Linked DNA regions of Canis lupus familiaris. The protein of the gene in region 3 interacts with the protein of the main gene of each other region in a pairwise test. Links are inferred from orthologs where the notes say so. Each region holds a gene or a part of one and is shown on either strand. Other genes may lie near its edges.

Region 1 (9,876 bases), on a different chromosome or scaffold from region 3:
AGCATTAGCCCCAGGATGGCAGACCTGAGAGCCATATGGAAACTACTGCTGTTTTTTCCTCAAATTTATTCTGGGGTTAAATTTCCAAATGTATGTTCATCTAAAAATAGTCTACCCTCCTTCCCCTTCCTGACAAGCACTGAGGAGACAAGCAAGTGGGGTCTTCTAGTGACAAGAACCCTGAATATCAATCCCTTCCTACAGCCTCCTCTACTTACTTCCCACAGGTTCCCCACTCCAGCTGACTCTCTCCAGGTCATCGTCATCCTCATCATCCACGAAGTCACGAAGACTATTCACTGCTCTCTTGGATTCCTTTAACTGCAGAGGGATATAAGGCAGGGCACTCAGGCAATCACTACTTCTCACCTCTCTGACAACCAAGAAGGCTGAGCAATTGAAATTTAAAGTTGGCCAATATTTCACCCTCTGCAATTGAAAGCCTAGCCTGCTAGATATTTGCCAAGAAAAAAACATTGCTTTTTAGCCAACATTGCAGTCCAGTGGCAAGAGTTAGAAGGTATCAAAGCTGTTTTTAAGTTCTGATCATATACCTGGCAATGACTTGCTGTGTAAGCCTAAGTTTATCCATTTCTCCAAAAATAAATCCATCTCCCCATTTGTAAAACAGATGCAATAAAGAAGCAACTTTCAATCCAGTTCATCATTCAATCATTCAAAAATAACAAATTATATCACATAATAAAAGACTTGGGGTTCTGGGGGGGGAAAAAGAAACTGAAAGGAATAAATCACCTTAAGCATAAAAGTAAGAAGAGCAGAGAGTTGGTTTTTACAATACTTCTGGCTCTTTTTCGAAGGCTCTTCTCTATGAAGATTTTTCTGAAGATCTGACCCAAAACAATAGAGCCCAATAGAGACACAGTCAAAAGCCAGGTTCCCAAGGATGTAAGGAGAAGGAATTTGAGAGTGGCACTGTGGCGGAGGTGTGATCTGCAGCAACTGTTCATGAAAACCTACCTGTGAGAGCTCATCATCTTCATCATCAAAGGTGAAAGCCTTGAACTTGGAGCTGTTCCAATACTCTTCTTCATCACCCTTTGTCCGATTCATCTAGAGCGAGAATAAGACATTTGTCCTTTCCTGGACTGCTTTCAAAAGAGCTCCAAAAGCTTTAGGTTCCTTCACCACAAACTCTACCTCCCACCCCATCCATGCAGTAATTGGAGATATTTAAAAGAAGCTGAGAAAACAAATACTAAATCTGTCTCATAAAATCAGATCATTGGGTCTCCAACTGATCAAACCAGAGTTCTGATCCTCTAATTACCCACAAGGAGTCATTCATTCCTAGAACACCTACTCTGTTCAAGACACTCTCTCAGGTGTTGAGGGATGTTTACAAAATGCAAGACACAGTCCCTCTTCTGAAGGACCCTACAACAGAACTGGAGTATTCAGCATCGATACATATAAGGGTAACAGCACAAGACAAGCATGAGTTATAAGGACACATCACAAGTTTTGCTGAATATACAAGATCAATCAAAGCATCAACAAAACAGATGATAACTGCATTCATGTATTATTCAACATATATTGAGTGCCACCTTGGAGGCACTGTTCTAGGTTCCAGAAATACTGTAATGAATAAAACTGGCAAATATCACGCTCTCATCTCTCTCTGACTTGAGACTTAATCTCATGACCTGAAATCATGACCTGAACCGAAAGCATGAGTCAGTCACTTAACCGACTAAGCCACCCAAGTGTCCCCATTGAAGTTTCTGATGGCCCTTAACATACTCTAGATACTCCTCCACCTGTAATGGGGTTAACATCCCAATAAATATAACATAAGTTGAAAATATCCTACCCGGAAAATGTTAAATGGCACAGCTTAGTCTATCCTACCTCAAAAGTGCACAGAACATTTACATCAGCCTATCGTTGGGCAAAATCATCTAACACAAAGCCTATTTCATAATAAAGTTTTGAATATCTCATGTAATTTATTGACTGCTGCACTGAAAGTGAAAAACAGAATGACTGGGCAGTCCGGGTGGCTCAGCAGTTTAGTGCCGCCTTCAGTCCAGGGCCTGATCCTGGAGACCCAGGATGGAGTCCCATGTCAGGCTCCCTGCATGGAGCCTGCTTCTCCCTCTGCCTGTGTCTCTGCCTCTCTCTCTCTCATGAATAAATAAATAAAATCTTTAAAAAAAAAAAAAAACAAAACAATGACTGCATGGGTGCAGAATAATTTAAATGTATCAGCTGTTTACCCTTGTGATCATGTGGCTGACTAGGAACTGTGGCTCACTGCTGCTCCCCAGCACTACAAGACCCAGCACTACAAGAGTATTGTGTTGTATATTGCCAGCCCAGGAAAAGATCCAAACTCAAAGTTCAAACTATGGTTTCTACTGAATGTGTATCACTTTTGGGGTCCCTGGATGGCTCAGTAGGTTAAGGGTCCATCTCTTGATCTCATCTCAGGGTCGTGAGTTCAAGCCCCGTGTTAGCTCCACACTGGGCCTGGAGACTACTTTAAAAAAAAAAAAAGTATATATATATGTGTATCACTTTCTTATCATCATAAAATTGAAAAATTGTAAGTTGAATCACTGTAAGCCAGGGAATCATCTGTGCTCTCGCTTCCTGGCTCCTTTGTTTTCAGGAGATACAGGGATTGAAAGGTATGGTGGGAATTTTCTGCTATCTGATCCCTTCCCATGGTAGACATCACTAATTGATTTCTACTGAACCCAGATGTAACTTAAAAATCCTTCTGTATATTTAAAGCCAAGTGAAGCTGGCAGATACAAGGAAATCATCCCTCATGGTGGGACAAGCACAAGCTTTATTTATAGCAGGTAGCTTTGAATTCAAATCTTGGTTTCCCAATTCTGAGCAAACTGCTTAGATAATTTTACTTCTAAACCTTGGAGAAAACGACATCCTACCTCACAGGACTGCAATGAAGAAGAAAGAGGACTTAGGAAACACCTAGCAGAAAAGTAAATACTGAATGTCAATTCTTTTTGGTATGGGGAGTTTTACGGACACCTTTCCATCTTGGTTTCCTTATCTGTAAAATGGGCATAACAATAGACACCTACCTTACAAAATTGTTTTAAGGCTTAAACTACTTAATATACGTAGAGCGTGTAGTGCCTGACACAAAATTAATGCTCACTATTTTTATTAATAAAGTATCATGGTAATTAGAAAAAAAGGTAATATTTATAAGCAATCCTAAAGATCTAAAAAAAAAAAAAAAATAATCTGACACAAAAATCCTGAGAGTGGCTATCACAAACACTCAAGACCTGCATGGAGCACAGAAAGGTCCCCGGCACAGATGCCAACTTCTAGAGCGCTCGGTCATCCTCACAACAGCTCTGCAAACGTGGGCCTGGCAGATTCCATCTCTACTTCACTGACGAGGAATACGAGGCACAAAAGGATTAGGTACCAGAACCACTTTGCTAATTGCTCCTATAACCCAGGTTTCCCGGCTGCCGGATCCCTTCCACTCTGACACGCACGGCCCTTCTCTGTTTCACTCTAGGAAAAACTAATGCAGGTCGTTACTTCACTGCGGTAAACAAATATCTGTAAGTATTTACAAACCAGCATAGGATGTGTCTAACGAGCCCCGTAATCCCCCAGAGAATTTCTGGAATCTTTTTAAAATCACGCAACCGCAGGGGTGACACTTGACACCAACGTGTACTGCGAAGGCCCAATCAGAACCTAGCTTGCTTTACCTGTGCCAAGGAAGGAGATAAAGATCTGACGGCTCTAGAAGTTACATCGACCGGGTGCGATTATAAGAGTGACTGAAAGAGGTGCTTCAACATGATCCCAAGTACGGCGGCAGAGGCTTGTCCCTATCGTCACCTGTTTACTGGGAGCCCACGAGACGGGGTAGCAAATCCAAGCACACAACAAAGGAAAACAGGCATCGGCCAAAAAAAAAAAAAAAAAATTCCACGACCGACACGTTCGCTGCTTCACAAACCAGCTCCCGAGACTCAGATCCAATTATTAACTTCTGAGCCAGGCCTATCCCTGTGAGGCCATGAACCAAGCCCAGGGAATGTGGGTTAACCTCGCCGGCAGAGTGAATGATCCTTCAATTCCAGTGTCGACTGGATTGGATTGGATTGGAATCCACTTACAGTCCCAACCCCGAGCGTACTCGGTCGCTCCGACTGGAAGGGTCAGGCCGGGGCGGCGGGTGGGGAAGCGTCTAGGGACGCCCCAGAGAATAGGGGGGGAACGGATAAGTTTGCGGAGACTCTGGAATCAGCTAGACCCGCGGCCCAAACGGCTTGGGACACCCTCACCTCTGCCACACCGAGCCCACCCTTTCGGGACAGCGTCAGACTCTTCCGCCGCTGGACCACCCTTCCTAGCCAGACTGAGCCGCATAGAAAACAGGCGGAAGCGAGCAGTCGCGGGGTGGGGCGGAAGGAGGGAGGAACGTGAGTCAAGACTGAGGCCGCAGGGCATGCTGGAAATTGTAGTCTTTCCGTCTCCACCGTCACGCTCGGTTCTGGACGTGACACAGGGCTCCTTGACTACAACTCCCGAAACTCCCAGCGCTCCGCGCTTAAATCGTTTCCTTTACTTTTAGCGCGACCTTCCGCGGTTATCCAGCAGATTAGTCAACAAGACTACAACTCCCATGAGGCTCAGGAGGGCCAATTCAGAGGCTCGGGGAACAATGGGACGTGTTCTTTGTGGCCTTTACGGGTGATGAATGGTTGTGTGAGCGGTTGCATTTCGGACCCCTTTCGAGGTAACCCGAGGGAGCTTGAAAGAACTCTCGAACAGGCACAAAGTAAAATCCGACGAGGTGAAACGGAAGTACCCGGAGGGAGTGAGGAGGAGCCGGAAGTTAAGGCGGGGAGGGGCGGGGGGTGGAGGGAAAAGCAAGCCAGGAGGTTCTGCGGCCGCTTCTAGTAGTTTCCAGGCGCTGCCGGGCGGCTGGGACCAGGCGGTCCGGAGGCTGTGGCTGCGGCTGCTCGGGCGCTGGTGGCGGTGCGACAGGAGAGCCGATGGCCAAGTGGGGTGAAGGCGACCCACGCTGGATCGTGGAGGAGCGGGCGGACGCCACCAACGTCAACAACTGGCACTGGTGAGGGCCAGCGAGCGGGCCAGGCCGCGGGAGGGCCCGGCCCAGCCGGGGGTGCGGGTCCCCGGAGCCTCGGTCGGAACAAAGCTGGGGCCCGGGGCAGCCCTGCGGGGACACGCGGGGAGGTCCTCGCCGCGGCACGGGGTCCGTGGCCCCGGGCCCCTCCACACACCACCACCTGCCGCTGTTTGGCTCCTCGGAGGGGCAAGGGGGCGCCGCGGAGGGCTGCGCCCAGAGGAGGGGTTCCAGGAGCACGAGAACGTAACCCCCGAGCCCATGCATGCATCCGCCGCGAGCCGGGACGTGCTTCCCACACGTGGCCGGAGGAGTCGGGGGACCGCCGTGTTAGGCTCGAGGCCGGTGGGCTGGAATTGCTGTCTTGCGGCTTATGCGTGCGCTTCGGAGTCAGCCGCAGGGGACCACTGCCTGAGTCCGGAGGGCAAAGGTTCGGAGCGTGTTCCGTAGGTGCTGAGAGCTCAGGGATGCTGAGGATGCCACGGCCTCTCACCCGGAACTGTTCCATTTGGTTGTGTTGTAACTCCCGGGGCTGCCCCTGGTTGCCGGGCAATCGTGGCTTTATAATGTAACCAAAAGCCTATTCTCCGTTATGACATTAAAAGTACTATTTCCTTATCTTTTCACTCCCCTGAACTTTGTTCACACCACACCGTCTTTACTGTACCTTTCCCCTGTGGCGGCTCTTCTTGCTGCTGGTTTCTCTACTGTTAAGCACATGGGGAGGCAGAGTGTGATTTTTCTCCTCTGTATCCCAGCCTGCCTCCTCTCCTCTTAACGTACAAGGGTGCTGGACTTAACATTGCTTCCACGGCCACCTAGAGGACACGGAACGTGTAGGGGATTTTTAGCACCGCCTGAATTTGACAGGTCAGCCCGCTGCGCTAATGAGGTCAAGATTATGGGTTTATTACTTACTGGGCTTGTGAGTTAAATACTGCTTTCAACAGCCCGCTCTTGTGCTCCTGACCTCAGCGAGATGGTCACAGTTTTCCATTTGGTCCAACGGGGGCGCCGTGTTGAAGTGTCACATACTGACCCTACAGCATCTTGCTGAGGATGGAAGGCATCATTTTCCGTTTGATTTGTAACCATTCCACGCAGCCGTGGTTGTCTTTGTTGACCATATGGGAGTCCTTATCTTCCTAAAACGGGGTAACACGCTTGTGGACGAACTAGAGTGGGACTGATTTTTTTTTTTTTTTTCAAACTATTTGTCAGGCCTCTTGTAGCCTTGGATTCTTTTGCACAGAGCAAGCAGTCTCTTCCATTTGGCTGCTGCTCCATAGCTTTATTTTCTGTTTTGCAGGACAGAGAGGGATGCCTCAAATTGGTCCACGGATAAGCTGAAAACACTGTTCCTGGCAGTGCAGGTGCAAAATGAGGAAGGCAAATGTGAGGTGACCGAAGTAAATAAGCTTGATGGAGAGGCATCCATTAACAACCGCAAAGGCAAACTTATCTTCTTTTATGAGTGGAGCATCAAACTAAACTGGACAGGTAAGTCTATGCTGGACTGTTAGGACAAAAGTTAACTGCATTTTGCTTGACTTGCTAAGGAGCCAGGGAGAATGGTTTGAGGGGAGTTGGGAACTCTTGAAGGGAGACAGTGCTGCTTTGGAGTCCTGAGGAAATCAGTATTGGGTGCCAAAATTTCTCTGCCCCTAGGGGATGAACACTAAATGCATTTTTCTCTCCGTGGGTCTCACAAGTCCCCATCAGTGAAGCAGTTAGGCCACTGAATTTTTGGGCTACAAATATGTTAGGACGTTTTAAATGAGGTAACATTTCTCACACTAGCTAATTTTTACCTCTTGGATGATTGATTTAAAGGTGGGAAAGGAAATTTTTGGGGGGGTATGGATCTTTTTTTTTTTCTTTCTCCAGTGTGACTCTACCAGTGTAGACCATTATGCTAATGAAGTTTTTATGTGACTATAATTTGGGGCAGTTTTACTCTCTCGTTTATGTCCCTTCTGTGATGGCATTGGCAAAGAATTAGAGCCATGTGTGCGCCCCACCTGGATGGTCCTGATAGTTGGGAGGCTGAATTTCAAAAGGCACTAAAGCTAAAGGAGTACATGTAGGGGGCAAAACATACAACAGATTTGTGCTTCAATGAGCATTTCTTAAGTAAATGGTAATAAAGAGGGGAAAAGTAAATCTATATCTTCATGACCTTTTAAAAAACTACTAAAATATGGTAGTCTGAAAGGAACCTTTAGGTGTCCTCTTGCCCGGTCCTCTTTTTATAGATTGAGAAGCTGATGTCAAGAGAAGTGGAGATAAATAAACGTCCTGTTGGTCAATTTTGAAATATAGTCAGTTCTGCTATAATGTCGCCCACGTGTTCTAAAAATCACCACACTGTGCAAAATTGCTCAACCAAAACCACAGGGCTTATAGGGAAGATAGGGTTAGGGACACGACACAACACCCAAAACCTTCACTGGTGACACGTTTTTAAAATTTAGGAATGTAAAAATTGATAGCACAGTGCTACATGTTATATGGGAAGAAATACATGAATAATATAGTAAACGTGCTGCTTTACTTTGAAAAAGATCTGGAGTTCACTTGTGAAAGCAGGCATCGTATCAGAAGGGTTGCAGCAGGTGGGTTATTGTGAATTGGTGCTTGGAGGGTCAACTGATGAAATCAGAGGGAACATTACGGACCCCAGTGTGGGTGGTATGGCTCGGAACACATGGGGAACTAAGGTTGCTGGGAGATAAGTGTTTGAGGAGATCCTGTCTTGTGTATTCCTGTCTGGCTCCTTTCAGCTGGGTGTGGTTCTGTGTGTGCACCTAGTGTTTCTCATGGAAGAAGTCTCGTGTTAGGAAGCGTGGAATTCATGCTGTGATCAGATTGTCCTCTAGTAGGTCAGTCGCATGGGAACAAGTTTGTATTTTCAGAACAAGGATCCTAGCAGAACTGACTGCCTTGATTATTGACCCGAATCCTCCTGGGCAGAATTCACACTAGTGCCACATCCGCAAAGCCCTTAGTCCCGTACGGTAATCACACAGCTGGCCCGCAGATCTAATGAGGGAAGACCTTTCTTCTGGGGAATTGGGGGAGGGTTGATTGTATCTGACATTCTCTAGAATAAAGAGGGTCAGTTCAATAGTTCAAAAGAAATATAAGCAGAGGAGTAGTTAGGCGTCCAGAGCCGACTTTGTCTGCAGAGGGAGAGACTAATGACATTGCATTGCTTTTGACAGGTACCTCTAAGTCCGGAGTGCAGTACAAGGGACATGTGGAGATCCCCAATTTATCTGATGAAAACAGTGTGGATGAAGTAGAGGTTTGTGCTTCTTAATTCTTCATCTGAGTCTTCCATATCCTCTTCTCAGATGAGAAAAATGATTTCAAGATTAAAGCCCAGGCTGGGTCCAACCATTCAGAACCTCATTCTGCAGATAATCTTCTAGGTCTGTGGTGCTGTTGGGAGCGTCCGGCACAGCTTGTGCTTATTTAATTACTTTGTTTCAGCTAGTAACGTGTTCTAACGTTAGCCACCTTGGCTTTGGCAGAGAGAACTGGAGGAGGAACACTCATGGGGATTGGAAAGATACCCCAACCCTCACACATTTCCTTTGGAAATGTCAGCAGTTATCTGATTGCTCAGCACCCACATTCCACATTGTGGGTGCCCCTCAAGTTATTTACCACCTACTTCTGATCTTTCACTCAGATTAGTGTGAGCCTTGCCAAAGATGAGCCTGACACAAATCTCGTGGCCTTAATGAAGGAAGAAGGGGTGAAACTTCTAAGAGAAGCAATGGGAATTTACATCAGCACCCTCAAAACAGGTATCCCTTGAGTAGTAATGTATGCCTTGAGGAGATAGTTCCCCCCACCCCCGGTCATCAGACTCTGATTAAGGGATCCGATAGTCCTTTGTTTGCCAAATGAGTGAACATTTTGGGGGAGGGGGCCTCTTCATCTCAAAGTCAGTCTTTAATCTCAATAAGGGAAAGATGTAGGGATGACTTGCCTGATAATCTATTGACTGTTGAGCTCTTGAAATACGGCTAGTACAAATTGAGTTGTGCCATGAGTATAAAATACAGTGGGTTTTGAAAACTTGTACAAAAAAAAAGAATGTGAAATATCAACAGCTTTTTATGACAATAACCTTGACATATTTTGGATATATTGGATTAAGTATATTAATAAAATGAACTTCACTTGTTTGTTTTTTGGCTATAATGTGGCTAGTAGAAAATGTAAAATTCTTTCTGAGGCTGACCTTGTATTTCTGTTGGACTGTGCTAATCTAAAGACTTGGCATCCCCAGACTCACTGCTCGAGCACAGTCCTAGACTATCTTTAATAGGCATTCTCCAGGGACGCTTAGGGGGTTTTTAGGTTGCAGGTAGTCGAGCTCTCCCTTAGAATTCCAGTTATGCCAGTGTGTTCTGGTCTTGGTGTTGGAGTGCATAGAGTGACTGTCAGGGGTGATCCCTCTTTTGGTGGGAACCAAAGTGCTCTGGTGCCAGAACTAGTTGTGGCTGTTTTGCAGAGGTGAGGCAGAATGGAGGAGGGGGACAGATCTGCATCCGAGGGCGTCTTGCCCTATTCTTGAAGTCATTGGAAGTGCCACTATGTTCATTCACTATTATCCATAGTAGACCTCATGTACATTTAACAAGTTGTAATGCTTCTAATGGAGTCGGGTTTTAAATGACCCTTAACGTTCCATATTCTACAGCGTACACTCAGATACCTGTCTGGCATAGGCCGGAGGTAAA
Region 2 (9,670 bases), on a different chromosome or scaffold from region 3:
AAATTTATCAGGGTTTCTATTATGACATTTAACTGAAAATAATTTGGAAAGTAAAGAACTAGGGAGCAATTGCTTGAAGAGCAGACTTCGAGAACCCAGGGTAGAGGAAACATTATAGCACTAGACACATGCCAAGATGAGAATGCATAAAAATATGCTTAAGACCTGATAAATGCGTTTGGAATATTCACCGTTTTTAAAACTATTTTATTTATTTATTCATGAAACACAGAGATGTAGGCAGAGGGAGAAGCAGACTCCATTCAGGGAACCCGATGTGGGACTCGATCCCAGTACTCCAAGACCATGCTCTGAGCTGAAGGCAAATGCGCTTAACCGCTGAGCCACCCAGGTGTCCTGTGTATTCACCGTTTTGTTAGTCATGAGACTAACAAAGCAACCAGACCTTTGTGTATTAGTGGATATCAATTCTAAAAAGTATTAGCATATAATGGAGTTAAAATTTAAGAAGAGCATGGATGTTATCTAGTGGTAATTTGTCGCTATTTTGTATTTTATGATTAAGTTTTATAATATAGTAAATTTTAAAATAAGTCGTAGTACATGTATAAGATAGAGTGAACGGTTATTCTTTTTTCTCAGAACTAAGTACATGAATTTCAGACACCCAAATAGAAAACACAAAACTAAATTCATTTAAGACAGGGAATACTTTATTCAAACCCATCAGAGAAATGGACAGCTTGAGTCTGTAACAAAGCGTCGTGTTTTAAAGCATAGGTCAGTAATTATATATGAGAGTATACACTGCTACATACAAATTAACTGATCAGAGCACTTTTCAATGTTCAAAACAGAATAAGCTTCCCTGTAAAAGCAGCACCTTTGTGACATTTTTAACTTTAGTATTCCTCTCCTTCTTCTTCACCCTCTCCTTCAACAGAATCCACACCAACCTCCTCATAATCCTTCTCCAGGGCAGCCATGTCCTCACGGGCCTCAGAAAACTCTCCTTCCTCCATGCCCTCACCCACATACCAGTGAACAAAGGCACGCTTGGCATACATCAGGTCAAACTTGTGGTCCAGGCGAGCCCAGGCCTCAGCAATGGCTGTGGTGTTGCTCAGCATGCACACAGCTCGCTGTACTTTGGCCAGGTCTCCACCGGGTACCACAGTGGGAGGCTGGTAGTTAATGCCCACTTTGAAGCCAGTGGGGCACCAGTCCACAAACTGGATGGTACGCTTGGTCTTGATGGTGGCAATGGCAGCATTGACATCTTTGGGAACCACATCACCACGGTACAACAGGCAGCAAGCCATGTATTTACCATGGCGAGGGTCACATTTCACCATCTGGTTGGCTGGCTCAAAGCATGCATTGGTGATCTCTGCTACAGAAAGCTGTTCATGGTAGGCTTTCTCAGCAGAGATGACAGGGGCATATGTGGCCAGAGGGAAGTGGATGCGGGGATAGGGCACCAGGTTGGTCTGGAACTCCGTCAGATCCACATTCAGGGCTCCATCAAATCTGAGGGAAGCAGTGATGGAGGACACAATTTGACCTATCAACCTGTTTAGATTAGTGTAGGTTGGGCGCTCAATATCGAGGTTTCTACGACAGATGTCATAGATGGCCTCATTGTCTACCATGAAGGCACAATCAGAGTGCTCCAGGGTGGTGTGGGTGGTGAGGATGGAGTTGTAGGGCTCTACTACAGCTGTGGACACCTGGGGGGCAGGGTAGATGGAGAACTCTAGCTTGGACTTCTTGCCATAATCGACAGAGAGACGTTCCATCAGCAGGGAGGTGAACCCAGAACCGGTTCCCCCTCCAAAGCTGTGGAAAACCAAGAAGCCCTGAAGACCCGTGCACTGGTCAGCCTGTTAGAAAAAAGGAATAGAGAAAACCTATTACTGCTCTTTGCTATATCATCATAAGTACACAGATTTCCACTTTTCATACAACTCCAACAATATAGATCTTATTTTGACAAGAAATGTTTTTAATTTTTTTATTTATTTTTATTTTTATTTTTTAAGAAATGCTTTTATTTTTTTTTTAAGAAATGCTTTTAAATACATGTAGACCTTCCTAGACTTCCTAAGCATCTTAATTAAAAATATCTGCATTAACATTTATAAAACAATACCCAAGTAGTTCATGTTTCAATTGAATTAAAAAAAAAAACTGTAAAGGAGTAGTTCACCTCACTCTATTACATTTCAATTTTGCATTTGAAATGAAAAACAAAACAAAACAAAACATCGTATCTCAAATGTCTTCCTTCAGATCCTTATTTACTTTATTCTTGAGAATAAACATACCAGTTTCCGAATTCGGTCCAAGACAAGGTCAATGATCTCCTTGCCAATGGTGTAGTGCCCTCGGGCATAGTTATTGGCAGCATCTTCCTTGCCTGTGATGAGCTGCTCAGGGTGGAAGAGCTGGCGGTAGGTGCCAGTGCGAACTTCATCTGGAAAAGGAAAACAAGGTGGCCACCCATCACTAACAACCTGCATGACCCTGCTCAGCCCCAGGCTGTCAGTGGAGCCTCAGACAGACCTCCTGTCCCAGTGCCCCGGGAGCTCACTTGGGTTACTGAGGCCAACTCACCAATGACTGTGGGCTCCAGGTCTACAAACACTGCCCTGGGCACATGCTTGCCAGCGCCCGTCTCACTGAAGAAGGTGTTGAAGGAGTCATCTCCTCCCCCAATGGTCTTGTCACTTGGCATCTGGCCATCGGGCTGAATGCCGTGTTCCAGGCAATAGAGCTCCCAGCAGGCATTGCCGATCTGGACACCTGCCTGGCCAACGTGGATCGAGATACACTCACGCTATGGGAAGGAAAAGAGGAAAATTGTAAATTAGGTTGTGGTAGCATTTTGAATTTTTAGTTAATTTTTGAAAATATTTCTAATAATATACAGGTATTCTTCAGGTTTAGTTGAGATTATCCCTAATTCAATAGAAATGATTAAGGAAAGCACCTGCTACAAATGCTGCAGATGGGTGTGGTCTGAATAATAATGTTGCACTGTTTCGCACATGTGCAAGCCCATTGTTTCCAGTCATGCTTAAATATAATTTTTTTATTTAAAAATATTTAAAGCACGGATTTTGTAAAATGAAGCAAATTAAATTTAATCATTAATTAGTTGGAATCAATATTACTATTCTTGCCCCTTTAAATAAGAGTTTCTTCTACATATGACTTGGTATTTTAACATGGACATCTGTGCTGCAGCTGAAGCTAGATGCCACACCCCTTTGCAGTGTATCTGCAGAATCCATTAGTACTAGGGGATTGGAAGCTAACAAGGTCTGCCTCCTGCACTGCTGCATTGCTGCATTTGCTGTGCCTGGTACTAGCCTATTCTGTCTGCTACATTATTTAACAGAGTAAGTTCTATTTCCAGAAACTGCCTACATGATCTCATTGTGCTATTAGCCAGTTTTCCTTCTGTGACCCGGGCTGGGACCATATGCCTAAACTGAAATGAATTAATGTAGATTCACTAGAACAAAAGACAGCTGAACAGAGAGTACATAGTTCTTTGTCTGCAGCATTTTCATTACTTAAAAAGATGTCCTTCCAGAATCTTCTCCACTGCAAAATAAAAAAAAAAACCCTGAAAAATTATTAGAATCTTTAAAACAATAGTTCCTAAATTAGAAAAGTATCAGAGGACCTACCTAAGAATAAAAGCTCAGTGCAAGGATAATGAAATATTTATTTAAAATAATAAAATAGTATTTTCATTCTGAGATTCTCTACTCACCACAGAATATTTCTACTCATCACGTTGAATAAGAGATTTTCTTCCCTATAGTCTTTATGGCTACAGCTTCCATTGTCTAGCCATTGTCTATTCACTGACATTTGGGCGGGGGTTGGGGGCGGGGGGGTGGGGTGGGGAAGGGCGTTTCCCTGGGTCCTGGGCAGTAGGGTACCCTGGCTCTCAAAGTGAGCTTTTTCTCTTGCTGGACGTGCCGTGCGGCTAGCACACAGACAGACAGACAGACACATACACACACACACACACACACACACACACACACTCACTCCAGTCAGGGCGGGGTCGCCCCAGACCAGACTTTAAAGGGCTTGTGAAGAGAACTGTGATTTTGCATCTCAAGAAAGAAATATTTCATCTACGTTTTAACAGTGAATGAAAAACCTTTTAACGCCTACAGTTCCACAACGATGAAAGGCTTTTAATAAAAGTCTCCGACAGAGGAGGCTTAGAGAGGACGAGCGAACCCCGCCCCGCGGCTCCAAGGCCGGAGAAGCCAGAAACAAACAACTCCGCCCCTGCGCCGCCCCGACGCCGGCTGCCCGGGGTTCCAGCAGAAACTAGCCATTTTCCCCCGTGCAGACGCGGGTATCTCCCTAGAACGCCACCGACCCCGGAGCGATCTTCTTCCTCTAGCCCGGGGCTGCGCTTTGTCCCGCTCCTCTCCCCCTCCCCCTGCCCAACTGCACCCGCCGCGCCCGGGGCTGGGGGACCTCTTCTCGCCCTCCCCCTGGGACCAGCGCCAGGAAGAAAAGCCTGTCCGAGCCACACATACACCGGGGCCGCCTTTCCCTGCCCCAGATCCTGTCGTCACCGACAGACGGGCTGCTCGCGGCTCGGAAGGGCTCAGATAACAAGGACTCGCTCGGCGCCGCCTTTGTTCTTCCCCACGGTTCTGCTGCGCCCCGGGCGCAGTCCTGGCTGCGCTCCCGCACCCGCACCCGCACCCGCACCCCGCGCTGCGGCGGCGGCCGGGCTCGAGGATTTGGGGCAGCGAAGCTACACCTCGCAAACAAAGCATAAAGGCTGACCCTTACCCAAAGAAGCTGTAAAGGAAAGAAGGAAAGAGGGCTTCAGGTTTTCCCAGCAGATCTTGGGGGACTGACCCCACCCAAGGGCCACAAAGAGCCAGAGAAGGAAGATTCTTACCATGGTTGCTGCTTGGCGGCTGCCGGGCGGATGGCGGAGAAGAGGAGAGGTTGTTGCTTCTTACAGCGCGACTCTTAGGCGGTCGATGTAAGAGAACCTGCGGCACATGGGCGGATGCGGCTCCCTATATACAACTCGGTCACCATGGGGATGGGCTGGGGCCTTTTCCTGTTGGTCCAGACCCCCTCAATCTGCCCGGAGAAGTCACGACAGGAGAGTGGTGATTGGTGCAAGCAACATGGGATGAGGTAATCTCTCCCCCACCCCTTTTTCCCTAGCATCCATAGACTGTTTGCATCCTCCAGACAAAGAGACTGTGCAAAAACAGTCAGCCGAGCATCCATGATGGGGTGGGGTTGGGGGGCGGGTGGAGAAAAGAAGAAAGAAAACTTGAATTGGATGATTTTGCTATTGCTTAAACCTCACACTTACAGTTAAAATCACCAGTGTAGGTTTTTTTTTTTTTCTCCAACACTTAGATCGCAGAATTTGTGTTCACATGAAATATTTGATGGAAAATTACTCCCAGCTCCTCTCTCAAAATATACTAAGTTCTACCACATTCGGTGAGGCTTCAACGTCTCTAATTGCTTTATAGATAAAGTAGGAGAAAAGATGGGAATGATGCTTAAAAAGGCTTGGGTGCATGTGATTTTTTTTTTTAATATAAAAAGAAGGTTCAGTAATAGAGCCATCCAAAATGGCTTTTGAGGTTCAAGTAATTTATCTTCAGACCTTCTTTTGCACCCCTCCCCCAAATAGCTAAACAAAAGGGAGGATGGAAGAAAACCATACTAAATATGGAAGCACACAAGTAGTTCTAACACGGTGATAATTAAGATCTAAGAAACCTACTGTAGTTAAATAGTCTACTAGAAATACTCTTTTACCAGAAGTCTGTGTGATTACTATATTTTATGTAGTGTATTATTCCTTAAGATGAATCATCTTTCCTGATAACAGAATTGAGAAAATACAAGGAGTTCAGAAACTAGTTCTAGTACCTGTGCATGCAGTTATTCTCGGCATTGTTCTCCCCGCCCCCCGCCCTTTTTCTGGAAAGGAAGAGAATAACTAAGACATCAAATTTAAAAGGAGAGCTGTATAATGTAAGAAAGAAGACATTTTATAATTTTGTCTCCATCCACAGACAAGTTTGTCAGCTCGATAACTGCATTTCTTTTTTTATGTAGTTCTTGTGTGAATTCAGTAAATCTTCTCAGAGATTGGACTTCTAACTGTGGGAATTGTAGACAGCCTCACACCGTTGCTATTCAACTAGAGACTGTGGTGGTTGCTCAATTGCCTCTTGGGACAAAAAGGCTTTGCTTTCAGCCCTAGGAAATGGATTGCAGTAACATTCTTTTGCTATTTAGAAAGGCTCTATTATCAACAAAGATGGGCTCTGCAGAATAAGACTCTGGACTGATTACCACCTGACGTTGCTAATGGAATTTCGGAGGTAAAGAAGTTCGTTATGACCACCGAAGCTGAAAATTATATTTTGGCAGATGATTTTTATGTTCAGTTTTCAGCAACAGATTTTCAGGGTCTGCAGCACCATTTACAGTGCTCTGCAGAGCCCATTCATTCCTGCTGGGCTGGCAGGCAGAGCAGGCGTGGGAGGGAGGGACTTGAAACAGCTGCTGCAGGTTGTGGTGTGACAATGGCTGCCGTGGATTTTTCTAGTCTGCTATCCATAGCTGTGCTTTACTTGTTCAAATTTGCTGCAGTAGTCTCCCTAGAAAAAATAAAACCCGGCACACATATCATATTTATCTACTTCTTGCATATTTTATAGGAAAGATAATCTTCAACATCATCTTATCTCCATCCTTTTAGCAAATAAATATATTTCAGTAAAAAGACAGGAGAATTAAGGACAACTCAAATATTTCCTCACCTAGAAGTACATTTAATTAAAATAAGAATTAAATGGCATTGGGGAGTATAAGGATTTATAAGTAGCTCATTGAAAATACTTCTTATAAAATTGTAATAAGTCAAATAAATGAAACACTACTGGACCATGGTAAAGTGTACAAATCTTTCCTTATGGAATGAGAGGCAGTCTTGAATTTTATTTTCTTTACAATATAAAAGAAATATGTCATTTCCCCAATAGTCTCAGTTCTTTATGCAGTTACAGAGGATTAAATAAAAGAGAGGCGTGTTCATGCAATTGATTCTTTGTAATTCTATCTCAGAGCTATTCTGTTCCTTATGCAAATGAGGATTTTTCTTCTCCTCTTGAGCATAAGTAACAATAAGATCTAGGTCAGAAATAGATTATTTGAGCACTGATAATCTTAAAAGTATAAATGGGAGAGCAGGGGGGAAATAACTAATCTATTCTTTTTTCCCTCATTATCTGACTTACTAGCATGTGGACTATTAAAATTTTTTTTTTCTAGTTCACCTCTTATTTTTTCCTACCAATCTCTTTAGCTTACATAAATATATATCTCTAAGTATTCTACTAATAATTCATTCGTGTCCACTGTAAGATTAGCATAAAACATCCTTTCTTTTATAATATTTGTAGAATTTAAATTATTTATTTGTGTATCTACACCCCTTCTCCATTAAAATGTGAATCCTAGTCCCTGGCAAAGTGCCAAGCATACACTAGACATTATATATATGTTTGTTGATTTAAATGAACGGTTTCTCTCTGTGCATATTTTCACTAACTACTCTAACGCCTAGTAATTTAAGGGCATTTAACCAGTATTTTGTTTTTTTTAAAAAAAGATTTTATTTATTTATTCATGAGAGACACAGAGAGAGGCAGACACAGGCAGAGGGAGAAGCAGGCTCCATGCAGGGAGCCTGATGTGGGCTGAATCCCGGGACCCCAGGATCATGCCCAGGGCAGAAAGCAGGCTGCTAAACCACTGAGCCACCCAGGGATCCCCAGTATTTTGCCTTTTTTATTCAAAAAGCATTTACTGAGTGTCTACAGTGAGCTCTTGACCATCCTGGATAATGTGAGTAATTCAGAGGTAGTAGCGTGATCTCTTTTCTCTAGAGTCTTTCAATCTAATTGAAGAAGTAAAACAAGCACATGTATATAGGAGAACAGCATGTGTTTGTGTGTATAGGGAGAGGAGCTTTGTAGAATCCATTGCATGTATTATAACTTACGTAGGAAACAAGTTGTATAACACTTTTTTTCTTCTTAATTCTTCATCTCCTATTTATCCCTAAATCCATTCAATCTGGATTCTGCTCTTACCACTCCTTCGAACCAAATGCCCTCCATTGTTGTTGTAAATCCACTGGATACTTTTCAGTTCTTGTTGACCTGTGATTAGCTTTGTCACAGTTGATATCTCTTTCTTGGGACACTTTCTTCCCTTGTCCTCAGAAACTCTACATTTTCTGGGTTTCCCCCTTACATTTTTTTGTTTCTTCTCTGTCACTGCTGGTTCCTCCTCCTCTCCCAATTTTTAAATGTTGGCATTTCTCAAGGTTCAGTCCTAGATTCTTTCCTCATTTTATTCCATATGATCTTAGTCACTCCTAGTAGATGGTAAGTGCATTCGTTCCCAAGGCTTCAAATCCTTTTTATATGCCCATCAATTATTAACAACTCCTTTTAGTTCCAGATTGTGTAGTAAACTTCCTGTCTCTGGCAGTTTCCCACAGGTATCCCAAATTGAACTAGTTATCTTCTCATAAATATGCACCTCTTACAAGGTTCTCTTGCTCAGCAAATGGAGTAGCACACATTTGGTTTCTCAAATCAGAAATGAGAATTACTTTTGATATCTTCCTCTCCTTTTCTAACCACCATAAAATCAGTCTCTGAGTCCTGTCAGGTCTACCTCCTGAATCTCAAATCTTGTTCTTTTCTATCTCAACTGCCTCCATTCTAGTAAGTACATCATCTTTTACCTGGATGTCAGTGCCCTCCTAGATTTTCTATACATTTACTCTTTCTTACCCTTATTCATTTCAGTCTTCACACAGCCAAAGTGATCTTATGATACATCTCACAGGGGCACTTAGGTGGCTCAGTGGTTAAGCGTCTGCCTTCGGCTCAGGGTCCTGATCCTAGGGTCCTGGGCCAAGTCCTGCATCAGGCTCCCCTTGGGGACCCTGCTTCTCCCTCTGCCTATGTCTCTGCCTCTCCCTTTGTGTCTCTCATGAATAAATAAAATCTTAAAAAAAATACATCTCACAGATCATGTCACTCCACTGCTTAAAGCAGATCAATGGCTGCCTGTTAGTTTTAAGATGAAGATCTCAAATCCTTAATATGGCTGCTTTAATTCCATAACGGAAGTAAGTCGTATACTTAAAAATCTGTAAAAAGATATATTGATTTAAAATTGTGTTAAAATTCAGGTCATTTCCTGAGAGTTGATTTTGATAGGGAGGAGGGAAGCAAAGGGGTTATAAAAGCTAGTCACTTTATAATTACTTGTTATGCTATAAAATTATGTTTTATTCATTTTTGTATTTATTCAATTCTTATAATAAAAAATTTAACAGGGATCCCTGGGTGGCGCAGCAGTTTGGCACCTGCCTTTGGCCCCGGGCGCGATTCTGGAGACCCGGGATCGAATCCCACATCGGGCTCCTGGTGCATGGAGCCTGCTTCTCCCTCTGCCTGTGTCTCTGCCTCTCTCTCTCTCTCTCTGTGTGACTATCATAAAAAAAAAAAAAAAAAGAAAAAAATTAACAATATAAACCCATGAGTTCATAAAGATACCCCACAAAGGAAAATAAAAATAGAAAAAAAATGAATTAAAA
Region 3 (9,831 bases):
GGATCGAGTCCCGGGATCAAGTCCCGGGATCGAGTCCCACGTCAGGCTCCCTGCATTGGGCCTGCTTCTCCCTCTGCCTGTGTGTGTGTGTGTCTCTCTCTGTGTCTCTGTGAATAAATAAACAAAATCTTTAAAAAAAATTCATTGTAGTTTTAATTGATTGAATGTTTTAACATAAAGATACTCTGATTTGTGCCACCTCCCGTATTCCTTGACAGAAGTGTTAGAGTCAGTTCTGTTGTCTTTGTTAGGTACGCCCCTTTGTTAGGGACTTTGTCGTGTGCAGCTCTTCTGTAAGACCCACTTCCAGATTCATCCTATGTTCCGCTGTGATGTTTCTGGTTTGCTCTTCCCCAACTTGTGTTCCTGCCGTCTTTGTGTTTCTTTGCAAACTGCTGGAAGTCCTGTTTGGAACATGTGGAGGAAACCAAAACATGGTCTACAGGATCTTCACAGCCTTCTTCACCAGGGGCTAAATGAGTTCAGCAGGCTCAGTGCTCCTTCTTACCTGTTAAAACAAAGGAACAAACAAGAATGAATCTAAATTCAGATGAAAAAAACACAGGTTCTAGGGGTGGTGAGAAGCCCTGTGCTCGGGACCCCTCCTCCAGCAACAGGAGAGTTCTGGACTTTAAGTGCCCTTGCTTTAGGCTGGGGATTCCTACTCCAACAGTGAGAACACCCCGGGCTGGACCAGGATGAATGTCACTAGTGAGTCTGGCCAGGACAGCAGGGGATCTGGTTGTAGAATGGGGCCAGCGGCCACCTGCCCCCTCTGGGAAGGAGCAGTGAGGAGAGGCGGTGCTCTGCAAAAGCTCAAGTCTCTGCAGCTCAAGTCTCTGCAGCTGAAGGGAAAGGAGAGAAAATGAGTGAAGATATCAGTGAGGGTGACAAAACACGAGAGCCCCCTAACTCTGGGAAACGAACAAGGGGTGTGGAACGGGAGGTGGGCGAGGGGGGGTTGAGGTGACCGGGTGACGTGGGTGACGGGCACTGAGGGGGGCACTTGGCCGGATGAGCACCGGGGGAACTCCAATAAAAAAAAATTTAAAAAAGTTTCTGCAGCTGGAGAAAATCTAGTTGCTTCTGGCCAAACCCTTAGCAGACTTCCCAGCACTTCTCCTGCTTGAGTGACCCTCTTGTCTCAGGAGGGGGGGCGGGGGGCACCTGGCTTCTGCAATAGGGTCTCCAGTGCGGTTTGTCTGGAGCCTTTATTGGAAGCGCTGATCTTCTGCGAAGTGACTGAGCGCGCGTGTTAGCTTCCCGGGGAGCCCTGGCCGTGCGCGTCGCTCCTCACGCGTCCACTCAGCTCTTCTGCGAGCCCGGGTGTGAGCCCGGAGTCGGGTCCCAGGGGGTCGGGGGTGGGCGGGGCTGCCACGGGCCCCCAGACTTGAGAGCGGCGGCTCGGCTGCCTCGTTGGGGTGGGGGCGCCCGGAATACGGGGTGCTTTCCCATCCTTGCCATTACCCGCCTGGGCCTCAGGCGTGGCCGCGGGGCGCGGGGCCCGGGATACTCCGCCAGGGGGAGGCACGGGGGGCGGGGATGCGCGGGGGTCCCCAGGGCCGGGCGGGGGGTGCTGCTCCGCGAGGGGGAGGCACGGGGGCGAAGATGCGCCGGGTCCCCAGGACGGGGCGCGGGAAGGGGGGGGGCGGCTGCTCCGCCAGGGGGAGGCACGGGGGGCGGGGTTGCGCGGGGGTCCCCAGGGCCGGGCGGGGGGTGCTGCTCCGCGAGGGGGAGGCACGGGGGCGAAGATGCGCCGGGTCCCCAGGACGGGGCGCGGGAGGGGGGGGGGGCGGCTGCTCCGCCAGGGGGAGGCACGGGGGGCGGGGTTGCGCGGGGGTCCCCAGGGCCGGGCGGGGGGTGCTGCTCCGCGAGGGGGAGGCACGGGGGCGAAGATGCGCCGGGTCTCCAGGACGGGGCGGGGGGGGGGGGCGGCTGCTCCGCCAGGGGGAGGCACGGGAGGGGAAGGCACGGGGGCGGAGGTGCGCCCGGGTCCCCGGGACGGGGCGGGGGGGAGGGGGGCTGCTCCGCCAGGGGGAGGCACGGGGGGCGGAGGTGCGCACGGGTCCCCGGGACGGGGGGGAGGGGGAGGCACGGGGGGCGGAGGGGCGCCCGGGTCCCCGGGACGGGGCGGGGGGGGAGGGGGGCTGCTCCGCCAGGGGGAGACACGGGGGGCGGAGGTGCGCCCGGGTCCCCGGGACGCGGCGGGGGGGAGGGGGGCTGCCCCGCCAGGGGGAGGCACGGGGGGCGGGGATGCGCGGGGGTCCCCAGGGCCGGGCGGGGGGTGCTGCTCCGCGAGGGGGAGGCACGGGGGCGAAGATGCGCCGGGTCTCCAGGACGGGGCGGGGGGGGGGGCGGCTGCTCCGCCAGGGGGAGGCACGGGAGGGGAAGGCACGGGGGCGGAGGTGCGACCGGGTCCCCGGGACGGGGCGGGGGGGAGGGGGGGCTGCTCCGCCAGGGGGAGGCACGGGGGGCGGAGGTGCGCACGGGTCCCCGGGACGGGGGGGAGGGGGAGGCACGGGGGGCGGAGGGGCGCCCGGGTCCCCGGGACGGGGCGGGGGGGAGGGGGGCTGCTCCGCCAGGGGGAGACACGGGGGGCGGAGGTGCGCCCGGGTCCCCGGGACGCGGCGGGGGGGAGGGGGGCTGCCCCGCCAGGGGGAGGCACGGGGGGCGGGGATGCGCGGGGGTCCCCAGGGCCGGGCGGGGGGTGCTGCTCCGCGAGGGGGAGGCACGGGGGCAATGATGCGCCGGGTCTCCAGGACGGGGCGGGGGGGGGGGGGGGGGCTGCTCCGCCAGGGGGAGGCATGGGAGGGGAAGGCACGGGGGCGAAGATGCGCCGGGGTCCCCAGGACGGGGCGGGGGGGCGCTGCTCCGCCAGGGGGAGACACGGGAAGGGGAGGCACGGGGGCGGAGGTGCGCCCGGGTCCCCGGGACGGGGCGGGGGGGAGGGGGAGGCACGGGGGGCGGAGGGACGCCCGGGTCCCCGGGTCCCCGGGACGGGGCGCCGCCGCCCGCCGTCTGGGCCGCTCGGCTCCTCCCGCCGCCGCCTCCGCCGCCGCCTGGCCCCTCCCCCGGCGGCCCGGCCCGGCCCGGCCCCCGCCCCCGCCCCCGCCCCCGCGAGCTAGACGTCCGGGCCGCGCCGCGCCCGCAGCCTCCGCCCCCGGCACGGTGCGCACGCCCGCGTCCCCGCGAGTCCGTCCCCGGCCCGAGTCCCCGCGAGCCCGTCCCGCGGCCGCCGCCCCGCAGACGCGACCTCAGGCCCCGCCGCCCGCCGCCCGCCGCGATGCGCCCCCCGGGGCCCGTGGGAGCCGCGCTCCTGGCGCTGCTGGCGGCGCACTTGCAGGCGAGCCCGGCGCTGGAGGAGAAGAGAGGTGAGCGCCTCCCGCCCTCCTTTCCCGCTTCCTGGAGGGCCGGCTGCGCCCCTGCCGGGGCCGTGGGAGGAGGAGCGGCCGCGGGTTCCCGGGCCGGGGCGTCCCAGGCGGCCGGACGGCAGGCTCCCTGCGCGGGGCCCGCGGGGCTGCAGCGCGCGCAACTTCCCGGGCTCGGCGGCCGCGGGGCGCCCCGCGCCTCCTCCCGGGGCCCGGCTGCGCTCGGGTGCGGGGTGCGCGCCCCCGGGGCTCGGGGCGAGCCGGGTCCCCCTCCGCGGCCGCGGACCTCCCGAGCACACCCCCCCCCCGGGTGTCGCTGCACCCCGACCTTGCCAGCCGGGGCGGGCCCTCTCCTGGGGTGCGCGCACCCTTCTGGGGGGGTCTCGCGTGTGCCTCTGCCTGTGGCTGCCGGGAGGGAGGAGGCGCGGGCTGCCCTCCTCGGCTACAAGGGGGTGCGCTGGGCTCCCCCGCGCGCGGCCCCACGGCGCTTGTCCGGCTCTCCATCCCCCTGCGCGCCGGGCGCACCGGGCTCCGCGCGCGCCCCTGACCTCCGGGACCTCCGGGACCTCCGGGACCTGCCGGCACCTGCAGCCCGTGGGGTGCGTCCCCAGGCTCCCGGCGGCGCCCGGACGCACGGAGCCCCGTCCTGCTCAGGTCCCCTCCGCTTCTGGAAATGAGGCCCACGGCACACTTTCCTTCTCAAGATCCCGAGACTTCTCTCGTGGGGGGGAATGTTCCTTTTAGCCTTTTTGAAGAATTTGACGTTGGGCCAACCGAAATATTGAAGGTGATGTTTTTTGAAAGAAGGACTGATGTCCGTGGCTCACCGGTGCCGAATGTCCAGACTGAACATGAGCGAGCCTTGGCTTCGTGACTACCGGCCATAAACCCACTTGACATGAGAAACATGCCTCCGAAGGCTTAATTACACAATTTCAAAATCAAGCAACCCGGGTTCCAAGAGTCAGGTCTGTACTTGCTGCTGATGTCATTGGCCGGCGCTGAGTGAGTTGGTTAGGGCAGCATTAATGCACAAGCCGGTGTGGTTCCCAAACTTCGCTGCGGGTTACAATCACTTGGGATCTTCAAACCAAACCAAACGAAAACTCAGGTCTGGCCCCCCACCCCCACCCCAGACATCCTGATTTCCTTGGTCTGATCTGAGACCTGGGCATCAGGATCTTCGAGAGCTCCTCTGGTGGGTCCGCTGGGCAGCCAGGTTTGGGGATCACTGGTGTAGGGGAGAGACTGCTAAGGTCTCTGGAAAGATTACCTGCTAATGTAAAGAAGCTTTTTTGGAACATCTGGAGTGTTAACAACCTTGCAAAATATAGGAAAGAGGAGGTGGAGGGTGATTTCAGTAATAGGGGATTAGTCTTTTCACCGACAGAGCTGGTGGAAAGCTCTGCATCCTCTAAGGAGTCTGAAGGGCTCCCCTTCATCTCTGCGGGGAGCCCTGGAGGCTGTGGTCCTGCTCCTGCAACAGGGTCCTCTTAGGCAGGTGGTGTCTCTCCCTCTCTGCTACAGGGCCCCCCCCGCCCTCCTTAATTTAAATTGACTCTTGGAGCACCTCCAAAGCATCACTTTGTGTGTGTGTGTGTGTGTTTTAAAAACTCCTGAAGTGTTTGCAGCTCTTTGCTCTTCCCCCTTTGAACACTGCTATTAGTGCTTGGAGATGTGTTTCCAAGAAAATGTATAAATACCGCTTAATTTGCCTGTCCTGTATTTGCTTAAAACAGAATGCTCCTGGACACGATTGTGAGGGTGGGCGAACAGATGTCATTCTGTTAGAGTAACATTACAAAACCAATTTCAAAGGATGAATTATTAAAAATATAAAAGGAGATGTTTTTACCAAAGGTGTTAAGGACCCTTAGCAAATTCAGTCGGTTTTGTTCAAGCAAATTTACTCGGTTTAGAGAGCCTTTTTTCCCTAAGATTTGGTATCTTCTGTTCTTATGGCTCTTGGTACTGTCAAGCACTGTCTTACACGTCCTTTTAATCCTTACATTAGGCATATGTGGTGAGTACGCGCTTTATTAAAAGGGGGAACTGAGGTCCAGAGAAGTAAAGCGACTTCTACATTTAGGAAGAAGCAGAGCCAGGGTTCAGACTCAGGCCTTCTCACCCGCGAGTCCTGCCTCCTCCACCTAGCTCCACTGCCCCCTGTGAGTTCTGGTTTTAGGAGAGCCAGATCGGGTGTGTGCAAACACCTAGTGGCAGGTGCTGGGAGGCGGAGGAAAGGACCAGGGAACGGGCTCCTTAGGACTGGTCTCTGTGTGAAACTTGGAACAAACATCCACCTATTGGGTGGTCTAGACTCTTGCTCCTTTACTCAGTAGTTGCTTTGCCTTCTGTGGAGGCAGCTCAGTCGCCAGAGCAGCAGTGAGCTTGGACACTGCTCGCGGATTGTTAAGCAAGCCCCTCTCCCTTGCAAAATGGAAAGGTAAAGGTGTTGCTCCAGAAGAGAGACCCTGGGTGGTTCTCTGGGGAGTGCGGGGGGCCTGTCCCAGCTTTTCCTCTGAAGACATTCTCGATTTAGTAGGCTGTGTTGAAGAGGAGGGAATGAGAGGATTTTGAATTGTATCCCAAGTGAAGATCCACTACCCTCTTTTCTCTCAGGAGTTCAGAGGTCAGGAAGCCCAGTAGGTTGTGGCCTGGAAGCCGGGACGTCTCTTCTCGTTCCAGCTCTGTGTCAGGCTGGACGTGGCAGTTACCAGCCCCAGGCTCCTGAGTCCATCTCAGAATTCAAAGAGTATTTATTGAGTGCATAGAATGTGCTGGACATTATGAGTTAAAAGGGGTAAGGGTGATCTTAGTAGTTTCTACTAACACTTCCACTGTGTGATTCTTTAAGTCGTTAATGAAGTACAGAGGGTCCTTGATTTATGATGGTTTGACTAGAATCTTTTATTGTATGTGCGATGCATGTTAAGTAGAAACTGTACTTGGAATTTTAAATTTGGATTTTCCCCCCCAGGCTAGTGATAGGCGGTGCGGCCCTCTCCCGTGATGCTGGGTGGTGGCAGCGAGCTGCAGCTCCCAGCCAGCCCTGTGATCACCAGGGTCGACAACCCCCACACACTGACAACCATCCTGTTTTTCACTTTTAGTACGGACTTCACAAGTCATGTGAGGGAGTCAACACTTCATATAAAATAGACTTTGCATTAGATGATTTTATCCCCCTGTCGGCTAACGTAGGTGTCCTGAGCACGTTGAGGGTAGGCTAGGCTCAGCTATGATGATCGGTAGGTTGGGTGGATTAAATGCATTTCAACTTAAAATATTTTTAATTTGCCCTGGGCTTATGGGGACATAACCCCATCGCGAGTCAAGGAAGATCTGTATTAGTTAATCGCTTTTTCAATCTGCAAAGGGGCCCAACAGTCTGTGTATCTCATGTATTCACACGCGTGGAGCTCTGTTCAGCAGTTACCTGGCCGATGGCTCCAGTGGGTTTGTAACCATTATTTCTGGCTTTATATATTTAGTTGCTGAGTCCGTGATTTTTCAAAAATTCATTCTGAAGTTTGAAGAAGCCGATTGCCAAAAACCCATTGTGCTGCATGATTAGACTTGGTCCACGTGACAGCACTAACATGTTTTGAAATGTTTTTAGAGGCAGTGTCAGTAAAGATGAAGGATCCCGCCCTGTTTAAAAAGAAAATACTCCCCCCCCCCCCACACCCCTTGATCTAAACTTCAGGATCAGCAGCTAGTGTCTGAACCTTTTCTGACAGGAGTGGCAAGTCAACTCTGATAGGAAATTGATGATTATGGCTGTTAAGGGAAGCTGGCCCCATGCTGGTGCCCCAGGCCCTAAAATTCACGTGGGATCAGAATGTTAGCTAGGACCCACCTAGGGAAGCATTTGGCCTTTGCCCCGTGGCTTGCTGTGAAAGTTGTGTGTTTGTGTGTGTGTGATTTTGGACTCAGTACATGAAATGGGCTTATTTAAAGTCGGGTTTTACAAATATGAGAAAAGGGCAAAGTTCTAGAACGGTTCCCCCCTACATTGTTTCCACATATACGGTTTCCAAAGCAGATTCTGCTTCTCCGATCTGTACAAAACTACTTTCAATTTGTTTTCTTCTGTCACTTTTGGACATTTGAAATCATCGTAAGAAACATTTTTGGCCTTGGTTATTACCGGTTTATTCTTAAGCCATCAGCACATACGGGGATAGAGTATAAACCTTGTTCTCGGGGGTCATTCCAATCGGACATCCTAGCGTCTGTCCATCCATTCCTTCTTCTTCATCTTCCTCCTAAAAGGTCGCCTTTCCTAAGACAGTTGCAACAGTTGGCTCTTTGCACAACCTCGAAGGATAGCCTGCCATCCAGCCCATGGGGATGAGATGAGCAGGTTAGTTTGAATTCAGGCAAGGATCCAAGCTTATGTCAAATAACCGGTTTGACTGAAATTTTCACTTTTTCAGAGTCACTAGGTACAGCCTCCTTCCTACACATTTAGATAGACACAGTCAATACAGTTGTCTAGAAAGTTCCCTGAGCCAGTGGGGAGCAGGAGGGGTGTTTGGGGCCAGTGAGCGGTGGGTGGTGGCTTGTTTGTTTAGCCCTGTTAGAAACTAAGTGCTGGATTTGACATTTTAAATCTCTGCAGGCCCTGAAGTATAATATCAAATGCCTGACCCTGTTGACTAAGCATCTGTGAATTGCATATGCTTAAAATAAATTTTACTCCTACCAAATTTCAGCAGCTTGCTTCAGAAAGTAGTATGTGAAAGCGAGCACTGAGGGATAGAATTTCCTTCTCTGCTCCAACTTATAGTCCATCCTGGTGGGCCAACACACCTGGCCCTGATTTAGGAGAAATAATTACATAAGTTAACCGCTGCTGTTTGTCCTTTAAGTATAAGGACACGAATAGCTGCCTGTTACGACTTAGGCTTTTATTTTCTTTGCGTTTGGGCCACAGTGAGCAGTTTGCACTGTTCCATCCACGTTCTGAGACTTAGGAATGAATCAATCAGCGTTGGTGCTTGCCTTTTAGTCATTTAGGGCAAGAGAAATCTATAGATAACCAGCGTGAAACTATGTCACAGAACCAATGATAGAATTCTGTACACGGTGAATTCTTCTGGCTTTATTCTTTGCTTTTAGTTCCACCTGGAGAGAGGGCCAGGTATAGATGGCCCTGGGCTGCGGGCATTTCCCCTGGAGAATGCACAATAGGAAGGCATCCCACGCGTCGTGCCAGTGGTAGCAAAGGTCTGAGGAGCACTGGTGACTCAGTGTGATGGCAGAAGGGGGAGATGGGGAGGCCACACATCCTAAGAACTTGGCCGTCCCCCCTCCGGGTGAGGGGAGGCTCACTGGGGAGCCCTAAGCTAGGAACTGGCAAGATGGGTTTGGGGTTTGAGAAAGATGATTCTAGCAGCCACGTGGGGAGTGAGTGCATTGCAGAGGCAACTGTGGAAATAGGGAGCCGGGTGGCTTCTGCGGGCCAAGGAGAGAGGCGGGAGGGGGAGCAGTGAGGACGCAGAACAGGTGACTCAGGCTGACCTGGAGGCAGTTCATGTGTGACCAGTACAAGATGTAGGGAGTCCCAGGAGACACACCGGGTTTGGCTTAGAAGGTCAGGATCAACACTCCAGCTGTTCACAGAGGCCAAGAAGGCTCCAGGAGGAAGGGTCACTTGGGTGGGTGGAAGTGCTCGGATGGAAAAGTCTGGAGGCCATAGAGCGAGTAAGCAGGGGGGGCTCAAATTATCATTTTAGTACATGTTTCAAATGCAGGTATTGTCTTGGGCCAGGAAATAACCCGCCCCTGTCCTGTGTCATGCTCCCTGTCTTGTCCATGTTGAGCCAGGCCGGGTCCTGGATTACCAGCTTCTTTCTTCAGCAGGTTGCCGTGACGAGCAGCTGGAGTAGCTGCAGCTCTGAGCAACTGATAAGTACGTTGGGGATCACATCTGTGTTATAATGCCACAAATCCTCCGACGGGAATCCTGCATTTCTTATTTAAGACAGCGTCACATCACTTGGTTTGTACATTAGCGGCTGAACTGGAAAGACTAGGAGGTGACTTTTTTTTTTTTAAGCAGTAGGTTTTGAACCTTGCATGTACCTTAGAATCACAGGAGAAGGATGAGAAAGAGGATGACTTGCAGCACCCTCCACCAGCTGAATAAAATCTTCTGGGGGATGGAGTGCCAGCAAACAAGTTTTTTTTTTTTTTTTTAAAGACTCCTTAGGCAATCCTGATGAGTGCCCCAAGTGGTGTGTGTAGCTTGTGGCAGAGAAGATATTTCATCTTTGTTCCCAGACTCCCATTTCTTACTCATTGCCTGAGCTTCCTCAAGATCCAGGAACAGTTTTGCATTTCCTTAGTAAATCAGGCTCAAAGTTGAATTTTTTTTCTCCCTGAAGTCCTGAGAAGTCTGTTACTTCTCAGGACTCTCAGGGTGTGTGTCCCAAGACAGCAGCAGCAGTAGAAC

Evidence for each region.
Region 1: the proteins of EGFR (region 3) and AHSA1 interact in a protein complementation assay, tested with the Homo sapiens proteins (2 studies listed by BioGRID and IntAct). The link is inferred for Canis lupus familiaris from reciprocal best matches to the Homo sapiens genes EGFR and AHSA1.
Region 2: the proteins of EGFR (region 3) and tubulin alpha-1A chain interact in binary tests that used the Homo sapiens proteins (3 or more experiments, as listed by UniProt). The link is inferred for Canis lupus familiaris from reciprocal best matches to the Homo sapiens genes EGFR and TUBA1A.

The regions. Positions count from the first base shown.
Region 1 is NC_049229.1:50,571,011-50,580,886, forward strand, and holds the start of AHSA1 (activator of 90 kDa heat shock protein ATPase homolog 1), read left to right. Parts: upstream 1-4,866; 5' UTR 4,867-5,027; coding exon 5,028-5,107; intron 5,108-6,428; coding exon 6,429-6,619; intron 6,620-8,343; coding exon 8,344-8,426; intron 8,427-8,816; coding exon 8,817-8,934; intron 8,935-9,876. Other genes in the region: VIPAS39 (spermatogenesis-defective protein 39 homolog), read right to left, coding at 219-321, 982-1,074. UniProt on the Homo sapiens protein: Acts as a co-chaperone of HSP90AA1. Activates the ATPase activity of HSP90AA1 leading to increase in its chaperone activity.
Region 2 is NC_049248.1:41,237,118-41,246,787, forward strand, and holds tubulin alpha-1A chain, read right to left. Parts: upstream 5,011-9,670; 5' UTR 4,913-5,010; coding exon 4,910-4,912; exon of another isoform or gene 4,059-4,909; intron 2,801-4,058; coding exon 2,578-2,800; intron 2,438-2,577; coding exon 2,289-2,437; intron 1,845-2,288; coding exon 864-1,844; 3' UTR 653-863; downstream 1-652. UniProt on the Homo sapiens protein: Tubulin is the major constituent of microtubules, a cylinder consisting of laterally associated linear protofilaments composed of alpha- and beta-tubulin heterodimers.
Region 3 is NC_049239.1:5,957,577-5,967,407, forward strand, and holds the start of EGFR (epidermal growth factor receptor), read left to right. Parts: upstream 1-3,268; 5' UTR 3,269-3,283; coding exon 3,284-3,371; intron 3,372-9,831. UniProt on the Homo sapiens protein: Receptor tyrosine kinase binding ligands of the EGF family and activating several signaling cascades to convert extracellular cues into appropriate cellular responses.